Arabidopsis thaliana: one gene and its partners. The protein of the gene in region 1 binds, or shares a complex with, the protein of each later gene. Each region holds a gene or a part of one and is shown on either strand. Other genes may lie near its edges. The genes, in order: RPL24, AT2G43030, RPL4 and RPL27.

Region 1 (4,012 bases):
AAAAACTAGATAAAGTTAAAAAGAATGGTATGAGGTTTTCGGAATTCCAACTATGGGGATGCAATACGGTAGCGTTTTCCATAGCTATCCTATTTTCATTTATTCTCTTACCAGTTGGCAGAGCATATGAGTGGTGGTATTTCATTATTACGGTGCCCCTCGTCTTCTCTTATTTCCTTTTGATGTACATGATGCATGGTCTCTCATTCTTCTTCCTCATCATATATGAAGGGGGCTTATTCCTCGTGTATCTACTGGTATTATATGTAAAGTGGAAACGGTGTACGCAGATGAAGGTACGCAAACCCAAAAGCGACCTGATTTCTGACAACTTCAAGAACATGGTTTAACCATTTTGAAGCGTTTGCACTTTGTTCCCTCGAAACTTTGTTTGCTTTAACTTTGTAACGTGCACTCATTTTAAAGATTGTATCTTTTGAATAAATTACTGTAGGTGCTTAAGGTTATGGCGGAGTCATTAATATGTTTAGTTTTTGGTTCAGTTTATTTGATAGGCCGGTCTAACATTGTCAATAACGATCAATATTGATATAGACAAGACTCAAGAGTACCCGGCTTTAGTTCGATTAATATGTTAAATCATGCTAAGAGGTGTTCATGAGGGGAGCAGAAATATTATAATTTACCTTAAAAGGGATTCAATACATCCATCCAATGCATAGGTCTATTATATCAAAAGTGCACTGAAGAAGAAAGAAATGAGACGCTAAGATGCGGAGGTAACTGCAACTTGGGTGGTTTCCTTATCCTTAGCCTCCTTAAGTAGCTTCCACTTCTCAATGGTGTCGATGAGTTCCCCTGTTTTGATCAGATATCTTACCTTCTGTCCATCTTCAAGTACCTTGTGACCCACCCGGCTTACTACGTCTTTTTCTTTTGAATACAACATCACATTTGAGCTGTGGATAGGTGCTTCTATCTGGAAAGCATAATACATTTCGCACAATCTTCAATCATCACTCCAATCTTGCAAAGTAAAGGAAAGCTACAAAACTATGATTTCTGACCTTGACAATTTGACCAGGCTCTCCCTCTTCTCGGCTCTTCATGTGTTTTGTTTTGAGGTTCACATCTTTGATCACAATGGTACTGTTGTGAGTGAAAATCTTAGTAACCTCTCCGATTTTACCCTTGTCGCGTCCAGATATTACTTTGACTGTATCTCCAAACTTGACATGCATTTTGTGGAGAATCGGAAGACTGTTTGGTTTGCATTCTTTTCGTTCCCAACGCTTGAGCTGAAAACGCAAAACACATAAATCATCTTCCAATCTCATTGTTTCAAAAGAATCTATCAACAGTTTTCCTTTTTGCTTTTGATGTGTACAAAATCTAAAGAATTATTGTGGTTTCAAAGCTAGTATATTAACGAATAATGCAGAATGTTAATGTAATGGATCTGTGGACTAACCTTTGCAAGAACAAGACATGGGTTCTCAGCGGGCTTGACCTGCAATGAGTATAAAATAATCAGCAGAGTAACAAAGAAACCATATCCTATTGCAGCTATTTTGCATTTCATAAGAAAATGCAAAAAATCACAACCAAATGAACAAGATAGCCACTTTACTCAATGTGAGCCATCACACGCACATTTTCGTTCGTTTAAAAAGTATAGCATTTACAAGTACTAGTCCATTGATTCCAAACCAATAACTAGTCAATCAGTCTAAAGGATGACGTTTTAAGTCCTCATAACTTTCATCTCAATTCAGTAGTTACACTTAAACATAGACAATGCACAAAATTTTATATCCCAGTAAGCAAAATTCAAACTTAAAATGAGCAACAACACAGATTCAATTTGAGAGTTACTTGATGAAATGGGTTTGGATATGAAAAGCGAAGACATGAACCTAATCTATTACGCAAACAAGTGAACTACATAACCTAAAAGCTTGAACAATGATTAAAAACCTGAATTGACCAGAAATCGAAAATTAAAGTTACCGGAGAAGTGACGGAGAGGGAAATCGGGGAAATTAAACGCTGGCCGAGGAAGGAAGAGCTGGGAGATAGAGAAAGAGAAGTAAAAGAGCTCTGAAGAGCAGACATGGTTGCCATTTTTTCTCGCTCTGCAACTTTCACTCTTCTTCTTTTTCCTTCGTCCTATCCGTTCCACAGATGACGATAAAAATTGGATAAACGATTAAACGACACTGTATTATCACTAAACCTTAATGGGCTAGGCTAGGTTTTAATTGGGCCTTGAATTCAATTCTTTTCATAGCCCAAATATATAATATGGTTCTCCAGTTTTGAACTCGTTTTAACACGAAAAAACAAAGAACAAATTTTCATTCACAAATATAGACAATCTAGCGTCTAAAAACCCAAAAGAATTGAAAAACAAAATCACATTTTAAAAGTTAATAATAATTAAAAAAATTGAGACTTTTTTTTCATTTTGTTTACAAAATCACGTCTTCAGCTATACTACTGTCCAAGGAATTATCCCTCCGATGAATTTCTGATCGTAATGATCCGTTTGCAGTTAACTCACCTTCTGACTCCTCCACTATCGGAGGAGGAGGAGGAAGCCGTGGAGACGGCGACGGAGAATTCTTCTGCCGCTTTCTGCAATGTCTCACTTTAATAACACGAGTCAAAACCTGAACAATGTCCCTCATGTTAGGACGTTTTCTAGGTGCACGAGAGATGCATTTGTAAGCAAAAGCTGCTACTTCATTCACTTCTTGTAAATCATATCTCCCATCTAATCTTGAATCTACTATCTCTTCCCATCCGACTTTTTCCTCTGCATTCATAGCCGCCTGTTCATCAACAACAACAAAACGTTTAGTCTTTACATGCAATTCTCCAAACAAAACAATTGGAGATTTCGAGGACTTTTTAGTTTTATGTTACCAGCTCAACCAATTCCATTAGACCTTGTTGAGGATTTCTTCCTGCTATAAGCTCGAAAAGCAAAACTCCGAAGCCATAGACATCGCTTTTCTTGGTGAATGTTCTTGTTGAAATGTATTCGGGATCGAGGTAGCCAAATGTTCCTCTGATGTTAGCTGCATGTTTGTCTACCATTTCTTCTCTGGAGAGGCCAAAGTCAGCAACCTGAAGTTAAAGAAGATCACCATTAGAAACTTGAGGTGGTTCAATAGACTGAGATTTCAAAGAGAAAGAAGATATGTTTACCCGAGCTCTCATAGATTGATCCAGCAAGATGTTGGAAGATTTGATATCTCTGTGGATTACAGGAGGAACAGCCTGGAACAATTGATTAGAACATGAGTTTTGAAGTTGTTGTTTAAGAGATGCATTAAAATGGTGAATGGTTTTAGCAAGCAGCTTACCCCATCATGAAGATACTCTAGACCACGTGCCACGTCTAAAGCAATATATACTCTCAAATCCCAGCTCAGCGGTTCATGTTTTTCGCCTGTATCAAAAGTACCATTTTAGTGCATCTCAAATCTTTACCAAGGCTCATCATTTAGTGAAGTCTAAACCATCAACTCAATAAATGTTCTACAAAGATACCGAATAGCTCAACATTGCATTAACAGTTCATTTAGTGACAAGCAGATTAATATGGTATGTATAACCAGGTAGTTACTTACTGTATAAATGAGAAGCTAAGCTTCCTTTACTCATGTAAACATATATAAGCATGTGTTGGCCTTTCTCTGCACAGTATCCAATCAAGTTCACTAGGTTACGGTGATGCAACCTTCCCAATAACATAACCTGAAAAGATTAAGGCGAGTGGATGAGTTTTTCAAGAAACTAAGCAGATACTAAGAGAGTAAGATATATAGATTGTTCATTCATGTAGCCTGTCTTATAGATGACACAACTAATAAATTGAGTATTAGAGATTTCAGAAAGCCTATTGTAATGCTTAAAAGTCTGCCTAATGCTACATGTTTTACACACTAACTTGTTCTTCGGAAATGAATCCATAGATATATCTTACCTCTGTCTGAAACTCTTTTTCGCCCTGTTTAGAATCAGTGGCTAGAACTTTCACAGC
Region 2 (3,412 bases), on another chromosome or scaffold:
TACTTGATTTACTCAAATTTGGTTTGAATCTTTGGGAATGATCAGGTCGAATGTGGGAAGGACGAAAGGAGTTCAAACCCGCGCTAGCAGCTTTCTTGGACGGTTTATTACTAGACGGATCATCGGTTCCTTGCAAAGTAGCGGTTGGAGCGTTATTGTCCGAAAGAGGGAAAGATCATCAGCCAACTCTCCCCGTGGCTAGAAGTTTGCTCTCTGATGCATTGAGGATCGATCCAACAAACCGAAAAGCTTGGTATTACTTAGGAATGGTTCATAAATCTGATGGACGTATAGCTGATGCTACTGATTGCTTCCAAGCTGCTTCTATGCTTGAAGAGTCTGATCCTATTGAAAGCTTCTCAACCATTCTTTAAAAATCCATCATAAAGATTTATATTCATATGTTCATTTTTTGTCTGTCATCTCATGTACAATTTTAAACCTTCTTAATTTCTTCAAACTAAATATATATTACATTGTTCGTTAGTTCTTTATGTTTAGAACTTTAGATGCTGAATTTTGGATACGCTTTCGAGTTTTGTAATCGCAGTTGAATCACAATTCAAGAACATTAGCATAGAAATACTTCCGACTTATACAAAAACTCCAATTCTAAGAAAGAAACTGTGATTTAGCAATTCGATACAAATTTTCAAGGAATGGATAAACACAAGTCAACATTACAAAACAAAACAGAGTCTCTTCTCTACTAGTTCTTGGGAATGTTAACTCCGACGATTTTAGCGGGAGTAATACGAAGAAGATTCCCAGGCTTACCAGGCAAAGCACCTTTGATCATGACAACATTAAGCTCCTTATCAACTTTAACAATCTTAAGCTTCCTAATCTTTGTCCTCGTCCCTCCCATTCTTCCAGGCATCTTCTTCCCTTTATAAACTCTTCCCGGAGTAGTACCAGCACCAATCGAACCCAAAGCTCGATGACTCTTGGAACCATGAGTCATCTGACCTCTCTTGAAATGATGCCTTTTGATTCCTCCTTGAAACCCTTTACCAATTGTGGTTCCAGCTACATCAACGAGATCACCTTCTTTGAATATCTCATCGAACACAAGCTTCTGGTTCGGTTCGAATCCTTCGATGTTTGTTAATCTGAACTCTTGGAGATGTCTCATTGGGATTGTACCGGCTTTTTGGAGATGACCGGTTTCCGGTTTAGTTAGCTTTTTGTCGCGTACACGACGGTAACCGATTTGAACCGCGTCGTAACCGTCTGTGGCTAGGGTTTTGATTTGGGTTACGATGTTACCTTCGCGGAATCCGACGACTGTTACTGGAACTACTGTGCCGTCTTCTTCGAAGAAACTCATCATCCCGAGTTTTGACCCCATTACTCCGATTCCAGCTTCCATGGATGATGAAACCACGAATCTGGTTTTTGGTGATGATTTGATGAGAAGTGAAGAGGATTTCGCCGGGAGGAAAGTGGGAGTGAAGAGTGAAGAGGATAAGGTTGTTTTGTTGAGCAGAGATGGGAAAGAAACAACCGCCATAGCTATCGCCATTGTCGGAGATTCACAGAGGAGAAGAAACTCTGAGAGAGGATAAAGCTCTGTGCCACACTCTTATCTTCTTCTCCAGTTATGAAATTTATTATTATACCGCTGAAGATACTCATATTTACAAAACACGGTGGTTTACCTTTTGCAACATCGGTCCTTTAAATCTGATTTTATTCATTTTGTATTTTTTCTTCTTATTGTATTCAATTTAACCTCTTTCAAGATTGGTGTTTATATTAGTTAGCACAAGTGAGAAAAGAAAATAGTACTTGAATTCTTAAAGATGATTATCATATATAAATAATATCACAAGGATATAATGTTCCAATTTATTGAATTAAAAACACTGAGAAAATAAGACTGGGAATGTTTTAAACGATCCGACACGAGAATAATTTTAGTTTCATATTAAGACAATCATCACTTGAGGTTCCTTCTAGTAAACGATAACTGATGGAGTTTAGAGACGAGATATAAGAAGAGGTACAGAGGCAGGTCCTTCCTCGCCCATCACAGGCTGGAACAGATCCAACTCACCATACCGCTCCAGAACTCGCATCCTACAATCTTCAGCTGCCATCAATCCAGTTGAATAAGCGCCGTGAACCGAGCCCGGGAAGCTCGAGCTCGTCGCTTCACCGGCAAAGAATAAGTTATCCACTGGAACCCTAAGCCTCTCGTAGAGATCATGAGGTTTGCCCACGATATCATAGCTATAAGATCCCATTGAATTCACATCAGATCCCCACCTCGACACGAGATACTGTACCGGAGGCAATGCATCGGGAAGAATTCTCTGGAGTTGCAAGACGGCGAAATTTGCAGCTGCTTCATCAGACATTTTCTCAATGTCTTTGGCAAGCTGACCAGCCGGCATGTAAACCAGAACCGGATGACCCGTGGCCTTGTGCAGGTTCAAAAAATAACTGCAACCGTAGGAGGTTTCAGCTACCACTCCTAGAAACTCTACTTTCGGCCAAAAGACTTTCTCAAAATGTAGTATGATCTTGTTCTCAATACCTACTCCTAGGTCGTTGATTGCTTCTTGTTTCCACTCAGGTAGCTTAGGTTCGAACTTTATGGTTCCCGATTTTAAAACTCCAAGAGGGACAGCAATGACTGCAGCATCCGCAACAAAAGTTTGCCCGTTTTCTGTCGTTACCTTCACTCCATTGTACCGCCTGACAATCTTAGTAACCCTGAGAGAAGGAGAAACACGAGGTTATGACTGTGAAACACTAAACGAATGCCATAACTCTTGAAAAACGCAAAAGCTTACCTGTGGCCTACTCGGATATCAAGACCTTTCGCCAGAGTATTGATGACAGGACGATACCCTCTAACCATAAGACCGTGTCCACCAGGCAACAATTCCTCCTGCACATTTCTCGGAGTGTTAAACCAAAAATTCAAGAAGCAGTCTATACAAAAAAAACTCTTAACTACGAGAGAAAGAATGTAACTAACCTGGTCCCAACACTTTGCAGAGATGGTTTCAGCATCTGCGGCAAACCATCCTTCCATGCGGCATACATACCATTGAAGTACGTTGTGTGCAAGCCCCTCTAACCTGGATGTGAAAATTCAAAATTCAACCATGAAACCAAGCTTGCAAAAGTGCATTGCCTAAAGAAATTGAGAAAATGAGACATTATGTATACAAACCTCAGCTCGGGTTTCCTAGAAAAGACAATTGAGAAAGCCTGAGAAATTGAAATGTCAGCATCCTGCTCATCCCTGACTTTATTGATCTGTGTTTGCAATAGACGAATCTAGTTAGCATGAGCATCAATCAAAGACTTGCAACATCAAGAAATACGAGAATAGGAATAAAGAAGAAATCTAAATGAATGTGAAGGACATACCTCTTCCAAAATACGCTCAAACGTT
Region 3 (3,894 bases), on another chromosome or scaffold:
CCAAAGCATTCTGTCTATGGCGGTTTGTGTTTTGTCCTAGAGAATCAAAATGCTTGAAAGGGAAAAACAAATATGGTTTAATTGAAGAAGCGAAAATTGATCAATAAGAGAGAGGTCAAGCTTTCATTTGAAACAATAACCAGTCAATAAAAAATAGATTTTTCAAGGGTTTTTTTAGATTTTCGTTTTGGTTCTTTTTCAGTTTTCAGAACACACGGTAAGGACGGAGAAGACAAAATAGAAAACTGGTAAGAGAGGGCGGGAGTTAAATTAGTTGCTTTCTTACACATGTTTCCAAAGATTCTTGTTTTCTTACACTTTTAACCACATTTTTTACTGGTTCAGAAATTGACCCTTAAAGTTCATGGATTTTGCATCTCATATCTCTTTCTTCAAAAGATTGGGCTATCTTCTTAAGCCCACCAAGACCCATCAAATGTCTGTAAATAACATACACTATTGACACTTCCTAAGTTTTCTAGCTAATCCTTTTTTTTAGCAAGTTGTTAACAGATTTGTGTGAGACTATTCATGATTTTCAAAACCAAGATGAACATCAACGCTTAAAGCTTATAATAGCCACTCTTTCTTGTTAACTTGATGACTAAAGTCAATCTTTGTTGCTCAATCTTAACTGATACACACACAATCAACGTTACTCATGATATCTAATTTCACTCCTTACTCCTTCATTGAGAGTTGGACACAAAATCAGTATGACAAGAAATTGAGGATGATCTCTTAAGAAAAACTCTAAAAGTAAATACACATTTCTCTTGTTGTGACACAAAAAGGAAAGAGAAGACCTCATCAAGGAGAGTGAGAAGATGTACTCAAGATTAAACTCATAATTAAGCCACACTTGAAGCAATTGGAACTACGGGTGCTACTCATTCTTAAGCTTCCTCTGACCCTTCATAACACAAACAAATAATTACTTTTCCATATTAACACATCATATTTCTACCTCTTCAAGAAATTAAAACCAGACAAAAACGATCAAACACAACATTCAAAACATCAAATTTCGACAACAAGCCAGTTCCTTTCAAGAAAACACTAACCTTCCGTCTCATCTTCATCGTCATCTTCTTCCTCCACCGCATCAACACCGTACCTCGCATTCAAGAACTCCACAGCCGCAGGAGTCAGAACAAGCTTATCAGCGTTCAAAATATCAAACAGATTCAGTGTCCTAGGCGTCAACATCCTCAAGGTTCCAATGTTCCTACTCGATTTCGCCACATTCTCATCCACATCAATCATCAAGAACATAGCTTTCTCCTTGGGATCCAATCCCCACCTTTGCATCGCAGCTAAGAAATCTTTAGTCTTGGGCTTCTCAAACTTCTCCCCAAATTCCTCCACCACTATCGCACCACCTTCCGCAGATGCCGCACTCGATAACGCCGTAGATATCGCTAGCTTCTTCTCCTTCCTATTGATTTTAATTGACCAATCCTTAGGTCTTGGCCCAAACACCACACCTCCACCGGGACGTAACGGTGTTCTCTGAGATCCACGCCTCGCGTGGCCAGTTTTCTTCTGTGAGTAAGGTTTAATTCCACCACCACGAACTTCACCGCGAGTCAGTGTGGAAGCAGTACCTCGCCGCTTGTTATTCAGGTCCGTCACGATGGCTCGGTGCACAACGGCACGCGCGGTATCCTCCGGCGCCGCTTTGAGGTCTAGATACGTCTCTCCGACCTTCTCTCCTTCGAATGATAGAATCGGTAGAGTCGCTAGCTGGGAAGAGACAGAAAGCGGCTTCGAGACTCTGCCGGAGCCGAGTTTTGAAACGGAAATGTAGGTTTTAGGGATTTGGTGAGAGGAGGATAAAAAGAGAGAAGATGAGAAGAAAGATAGCGAATTTGGTGCTGTTGCAGAAGAAGCCATTGTTGTTCCCTGACCTGACCTATCACAACGAAGAAGAAGAAGAAAGACTGAGAAAGTGTTATCCACTCTTCAAATGCCTATCTTGTGCTTGGTGAGAATTTATGCATCTGTTTGGACATAAGGATATAACTATCCTGTTCATGAATAACTCCAGCTGTCGCTAGTAAGAAAGAGTCAAACTCCAAAAGTCAAAAGCCTCTTATATAGCCAGCAGGTTTTTTGAGACATAAAACTCTGTGATAAAACGATGATAGTTGATGATAGCTGAGACTTTGATACAGATATTTGAGATACGAGCGCACGTTAGCTAAGACCACCGCGTAAGCCACCGTCTCGTCTTGAAACGCACCGTATTCATGACTTCGTCGGAGCCACTCGACCTGGTTGTCACCGTCGTCTCTGCCAAGCACCTGAAGAATGTCAACTGGCGTAACGGTGACCTGAAACCCTACGTTGTTCTGTATCTTGACCAAGACCACCCTCTCTCCACCCGCTCCGATGATTCCTCCTCCATCAAACCGGTGTGGAACGAGCGGATTACTCTTCCTCTCACCCGATCTGTCCACGAATCGGTCCTCAACATCGAGGTTTTTCATTCCAATTCTTCGGATCTGGCGAAAACCCTCGTCGGATCGGTTAGGTTTCCTCTAGCTCGTTTGATTGACTCGGACGGGTCAATGATTCCGGAATTGATCAACTCGCTCGAGCTGGTTCGTCCATCGGGTCGACCACAGGGGAAGATTCGTTTGAAGCTCGCGATCAAAGACAGACCAATCCCTCCACCGCAGCATCCTCCGCCACGTCCTCAATCTCAACCACTAGATTACTATTCTGCCCCTCAAGGAAACCATTATTACTCCCCTAGCCCTCCTCCTCCTCCTCCTCCTCAAGCACCGATCACCGCTCCATCTCCTCAGCGTGACTACAGAGAATTCTCACAGTCACCGTCTCCGTCTCCTTACGCATTCACTGATCACTACTATTCCGGGTATTATTATCCGCCTCCTCCACCACGTTCAATGTACGATCGTGCCTCCAATTACGGCCTCCCAAGTGGCCCATCTGCTCCCGTTGATGCCTTCTCATCGATTGATCACAAGCAGCCTCCTTTAGCTCCTCCTCGGTTTTCTAACTACGGTCCACCGCCTAGTGGGCCCTCAGCACCCGTTGATGCCTTTCTGGTTACCGAGTACAAGCCACAAGCTCCACCTATGGGCTCGCGATTGTCTAGCTACGGAGTGCCTAATGGTCCATCGGCACCAGTCGATTACTCTCCTTATGATCACAGGCAGTTGCAGAAGACGATGGGTGGATTGAGCTTAGAGGAAGAGAGAGCTGCTGCAGAGAGGTCTGAGAGTGATTTCGGAGCTAGGCCAAACTACAGCTATGGCCGTGATTATCGCCGTGAATGTTGAGGATGGCAAAAAGTTGTTGAATTTCACAAGTGTGCGGCGTTTCTAAGGCTTTACTTATCATCAGATTTGTTGGTGTTAGAACACCAGGAAATGGCTGATGACAAAATATGAATTTGGTGAAGTATATGTTATGTCTATATGTATGTCTCGTTTGTGAATTGATTTGTTGCTTCTTTCTAGCTGATATTCGGTGTTACCCCTTCTGTACCTTTGTACATGTTTCTAAAACATCTCTCATTTCTTTCCTTCATTCAGTTTCTTGAATCAAGCTATTGGGTTCTTAGGGTTAATGTTCTAATGTGAATCACTTTACTGTTGATTTATTGTTTGAACCATGCTCTGATTAGGTATGGTAGTATGCTCTGTCTCAGACATGAACAGTCCTATATCCTGCGATTCTGCCGAATATTTTTGCAGGCTGGTTAAAGACTTTGGTTCTTATTTCATGTTTGATGATACCAATGTGTGATTTTCGTTTGGAACCAGTGATCTCCATATTCATTGAGCGTTTGGATTAATGTGTCTTGAATCATGCTCATCACAGTGCAGAAAAGATGTTCTCTCTGATCGTTTTGGGTAAAAT
Region 4 (3,825 bases), 5.8 Mb from region 1:
TCTTCTTCTTAATTACTGCTCCTAGAATTTAAAACTTCTCATCAATTACTATTTTTGCTCTAGGCCTTTAGTGTTATTCAATAATATATCGTCATCTTACATATATATATCGTTACATACATGTGTATAAGTATTTGACCTCAAGCTGGTGAAATATGGCCTAAAGATAACACAAAGGATCTAATATGGTACAGGTAAAACGTTAGCGAAATTGATGGATTCAAGATGAGCAAGATATAGATAAATGAAAAAAAAAAAACATAGAATAATAATTTCATTCCACTAATTATGCAATGATAGACGAAAATGAATATTATTCAATTTCTTTTTTGTACCACTATCTACATATTCCGAAATGCTAAGTAATTGGGCTAAAACCCATTATTTCGCTAGAAGGCCCATAAAGTCTTCGGCTTCTTAGACTAACAATGGATCCATTTTTGGGATCCAAATAAGTTTTATAATTTTTATAATAAAAAAACCTCAAATAGACACTTGAACTAGATTTATACTTGACTAAATCTAATTGGGGCATTCAAAGGTTTGGTGGTCTCTCTTATCAATGATTCAGAATTACTAAGTTGGAAGAGAAATTCACTAAATTAAAACCTTTGAGGCTTTGACTAATTAACAATAACCATTTGATTACACTAATAACTCAAGTTGGGTAAAAATCCGCCTGCTTGGGACTCAATTTGACAAAAGAGAGGCTTGGATTCGACAATACAACCAACTCTTAATACTCTGAAAGGATCATTTTTCATAAACAAGACTAAACAAAAAGAGACAAGGAAACTCCACATTCAATCTTCTAGCACTCCGGATTGGCTTCAGCATCATCGACTGAGGCAGATGCAAGAACAAGTTCTGGTGTAGGAAGTGTGTACGAGTAATTCTCGCGTCTCGCCTTCTTCTTCTCCCTTTGCAATCTGAAGTTTTCTCTCTTTCTTGCTCTGTAGCTATTGGGATTCTCTGGTACAATTTCTCTTGGATACACACTTATCTGCAAAAACAAGTCTCATTTCCTTTAACATCCTAGAAGATTAAGAAAGCTTATAAACCTTACTCAGTATAACTACAGGTATACCTTCTTCCTGTCAGGACCAAACTTCTCGAACTTGACTAATCCATCGATTAAAGAGAAGATGGTATGATCTTTACCAATCCCAACATTTTTCCCAGCATGGAACTGCACCAAACATCACCATTCATGAATCAATCTTCTCAAACAATATAGTTCCATCCTAAACACAAACATAACGTAGAACTTCCAGAGAAATGGCAATGGCATCAGAAACAAGAGCTACTAAATACGAAAATTCATCCTAAACCCAGATGTGTTCGAGAATGGAATCTGAAAACAGAGCTTGAGAGCTAAACCCATAAGAAACTGACCAAATTGACAGAGTTGCGGTGAAATTAGAAGAGAATTGAAAGAGGAGCTTAAGAGGTTCTCAATTTCAACAATTCTGTGTTCTTAAGTGTTACCTTAGTGCCACGTTGACGAACAATGATAGCACCAGGTTTAGCAACTTGGTCACCGTAGATCTTGACGCCGAGTCGTTGCCCAGGAGAATCACGACCGTTCTTGGTGCTACCAGCTCCTTTCTTATGGGCCGATTCAATTGTCAACGGAATCGGAGCTTGAAGATTTTCCAGAGGAAGAGTCACCGTGAAAGAGGTTTTGGGGGAAAAACTCAAATCGCCTCTAAGAAAAGACGAAGTCGAAGAAAGAGACAAGCCTTTGAATGCCCCAATTAGATTCAAACTCATCGATGTTGCCATCGCCATTGGTAAAATCACCAGAGAATTCGTTGGAGTTTCGAAATGGAGAAATTAGGGTTTTCTGAGGTTGAAGAAGAAGTTCTTCTCCTTATCGTTTCGTCTCACTCTCTCGATTAGTGACCACTAAAATTACACGTCATCAAATAATGTAAGATAAGGTGAGTACACGTCAGCAAGTAAATAATGGAAAAAGAGAAAAAAGTGAATGTTGACAGTGGGATTTGAACCCACGCCCTTTCGGACCAGAACCTTAATCTGGCGCCTTAGACCAACTCGGCCATATCAACTTGTTGTATAAAATATTAAATCTAAATATATAGACTACAGTTTCAAATATTCATTATATAGTAGAAATTTCTCAGATAAAAACAAAAACCAAACTTAGAATAATAATATGCAAGAAGCAGCCAAAAATAATTATAGACTTTAGCTATAATATTAAAACATAAATTAGGATTTATACTGACAATGTCACTCTAAAAATTATTTTTACATTGGCGGAAAAATGTAATTTTCTGATTTGGCAAAAAAAAAATATTATTTGATTTTGACATGTTTTTACAGTTTTGACCGAAAATTAAAAATTATATTATTTGAGTTTCATAGACTGTCTAGTTGGTTAGAGGAGAAAAAAGTATTATGAACAAGATGAGAGATCACTATGACTCTCCTGTCATTAGTAGCAAGCCTTAAATAATGTTTGGAGATTTTAATGAGATTTTAGAACTTGTGGAGCATTCTAGAGCTGAAGACAACCCTATTATACCAATGGAATGAGAGACTTTCAATCAGTGGTAAACTATTGCTTTGTTTGAGACCTATCATCCCATGGTCCGCTGTATACTTGGTGTAATAAGCGAGAAAATGATCTTATCTTAAAGAAGTTGGATAGAGTTATAGAGACATGGACACAAACTTTTCTTTTTGATTGGATGGAAAGTCATAGGAGAGTTATAGTGATCTCTCATCTCTACTAATTGTTTATGGTTTTCATATTTATTGACAAAAGTATCTTTCAAAGACCTTCATTGTTCTTGAAATTCGACGATGAAGGTCTTTGGAACGGTAAATGGTAATTGGTTGTTTATTCTCTTTTAGTTATGTTTTCTATATTTTCATTTCTTTCTGCCTTCAAAAGAATTTGATATCATGTCTGTTTCCTATTCAATTTGCCTACTAATGATTCTCTCTCATAGAATTATTGTGAACAGCCACTAAAATATTTTTACCATAATCGACATGCTTTCTTATCATAAGTCACTACACCTACTTGGAAATGAACACTGGATTGTTTGAAACAAATGCATATTTCGAAGGTTGAGTTAGAAAGTGATGTAAGATACTTATGCAAAAACTTAAGAGTAAGTCTTGCTAATCATCCAAAAGACCATGAGAAAATAACATTTTTATGTCGAAAGGGGAGGATTCTCTTTGTGCTCCCTCTGCCAATAAAGAGGCAAAACCAATATAGCTAGAAACCTAGCAATGTTCTTAAGAACGAAATATATAGCAAAGTCATTGGCTCCAATCCTTTTTGGATTTGGGTAGACCCATGTAATTACTAGGATCCGGATTAGTTATATGTTAACCATGTAAAAACTATGTTAAATAATTAAGAAATTAAATGTCCATTATCAAATTAAACTTCATCTGTTTTTCATTATACTGAAAATTACAAAACTAAAAATAAAGCAAGTAAGCAAAATCTAAAAATCCTCGTCAAGCTTGAAGACATGATCATCATTAAACGCAGCGTTTCCATGAACACTAGACATAACAGAAGCTTTCTGATACTCACCAACTCTCTTCTCAAAAAAGTTGGTCTTACCCTGAAGCGAAATCAATTCCATCCAATCAAAAGGATTAGTCACACCATACACCTTACCACACCCAAGCGCAGCCAACAACCTATCAGCAACGAACTCAATGTACTGACTCATCAACTCACGATTCATCCCAACCAAGGCACAAGAAAGCGCGTCACAAACAAACTCTCTCTCAATCTCAACAGCATCACAAACAATCGCTTTCAAACGATCT

Evidence for each region.
Region 2: RPL24 (region 1) and AT2G43030 share a complex: the UniProt entries of both Arabidopsis thaliana proteins name them as parts of the 50S ribosomal subunit.
Region 3: RPL24 (region 1) and RPL4 share a complex: the UniProt entries of both Arabidopsis thaliana proteins name them as parts of the 50S ribosomal subunit.
Region 4: RPL24 (region 1) and RPL27 share a complex: the UniProt entries of both Arabidopsis thaliana proteins name them as parts of the 50S ribosomal subunit.

The regions. Positions count from the first base shown.
Region 1 is NC_003076.8:22,181,119-22,185,130, reverse strand, and holds RPL24 (Translation protein SH3-like family protein), read right to left. Parts: upstream 2,289-4,012; 5' UTR 2,086-2,288; coding exon 1,972-2,085; intron 1,472-1,971; coding exon 1,433-1,471; intron 1,260-1,432; coding exon 1,029-1,259; intron 941-1,028; coding exon 728-940; 3' UTR 521-727; downstream 1-520. Other genes in the region: ANK (ankyrin), read left to right, coding at 1-350; CRLK1 (Protein kinase superfamily protein), read right to left, coding at 2,433-2,795, 2,890-3,093, 3,175-3,246, 3,333-3,418, 3,600-3,726, 3,956-4,012. UniProt on the Arabidopsis thaliana protein: One of two assembly initiator proteins, it binds directly to the 5'-end of the 23S rRNA, where it nucleates assembly of the 50S subunit. Required for optimal plastid performance in terms of photosynthesis and growth.
Region 2 is NC_003071.7:17,893,011-17,896,422, reverse strand, and holds AT2G43030 (Ribosomal protein L3 family protein), read right to left. Parts: upstream 1,628-3,412; 5' UTR 1,526-1,627; coding exon 710-1,525; 3' UTR 541-709; downstream 1-540. Other genes in the region: NPG1 (tetratricopeptide repeat (TPR)-containing protein), read left to right, coding at 46-374; PAO2 (polyamine oxidase 2), read right to left, coding at 1,983-2,721, 2,802-2,899, 2,990-3,092, 3,188-3,273, 3,388-3,412. UniProt on the Arabidopsis thaliana protein: One of the primary rRNA binding proteins, it binds directly near the 3'-end of the 23S rRNA, where it nucleates assembly of the 50S subunit.
Region 3 is NC_003070.9:2,247,192-2,251,085, reverse strand, and holds RPL4 (ribosomal protein L4), read right to left. Parts: upstream 2,120-3,894; 5' UTR 1,897-2,119; coding exon 1,065-1,896; coding exon of another isoform or gene 1,060-1,064; exon of another isoform or gene 914-1,059; coding exon 897-913; 3' UTR 557-896; downstream 1-556. Other genes in the region: AT1G07310 (Calcium-dependent lipid-binding (CaLB domain) family protein), read left to right, coding at 2,253-3,311. UniProt on the Arabidopsis thaliana protein: This protein binds directly and specifically to 23S rRNA. May play a role in plastid transcriptional regulation.
Region 4 is NC_003076.8:16,408,832-16,412,656, reverse strand, and holds RPL27 (ribosomal protein large subunit 27), read right to left. Parts: upstream 1,876-3,825; 5' UTR 1,792-1,875; coding exon 1,489-1,791; intron 1,190-1,488; coding exon 1,088-1,189; intron 1,004-1,087; coding exon 812-1,003; 3' UTR 543-811; downstream 1-542.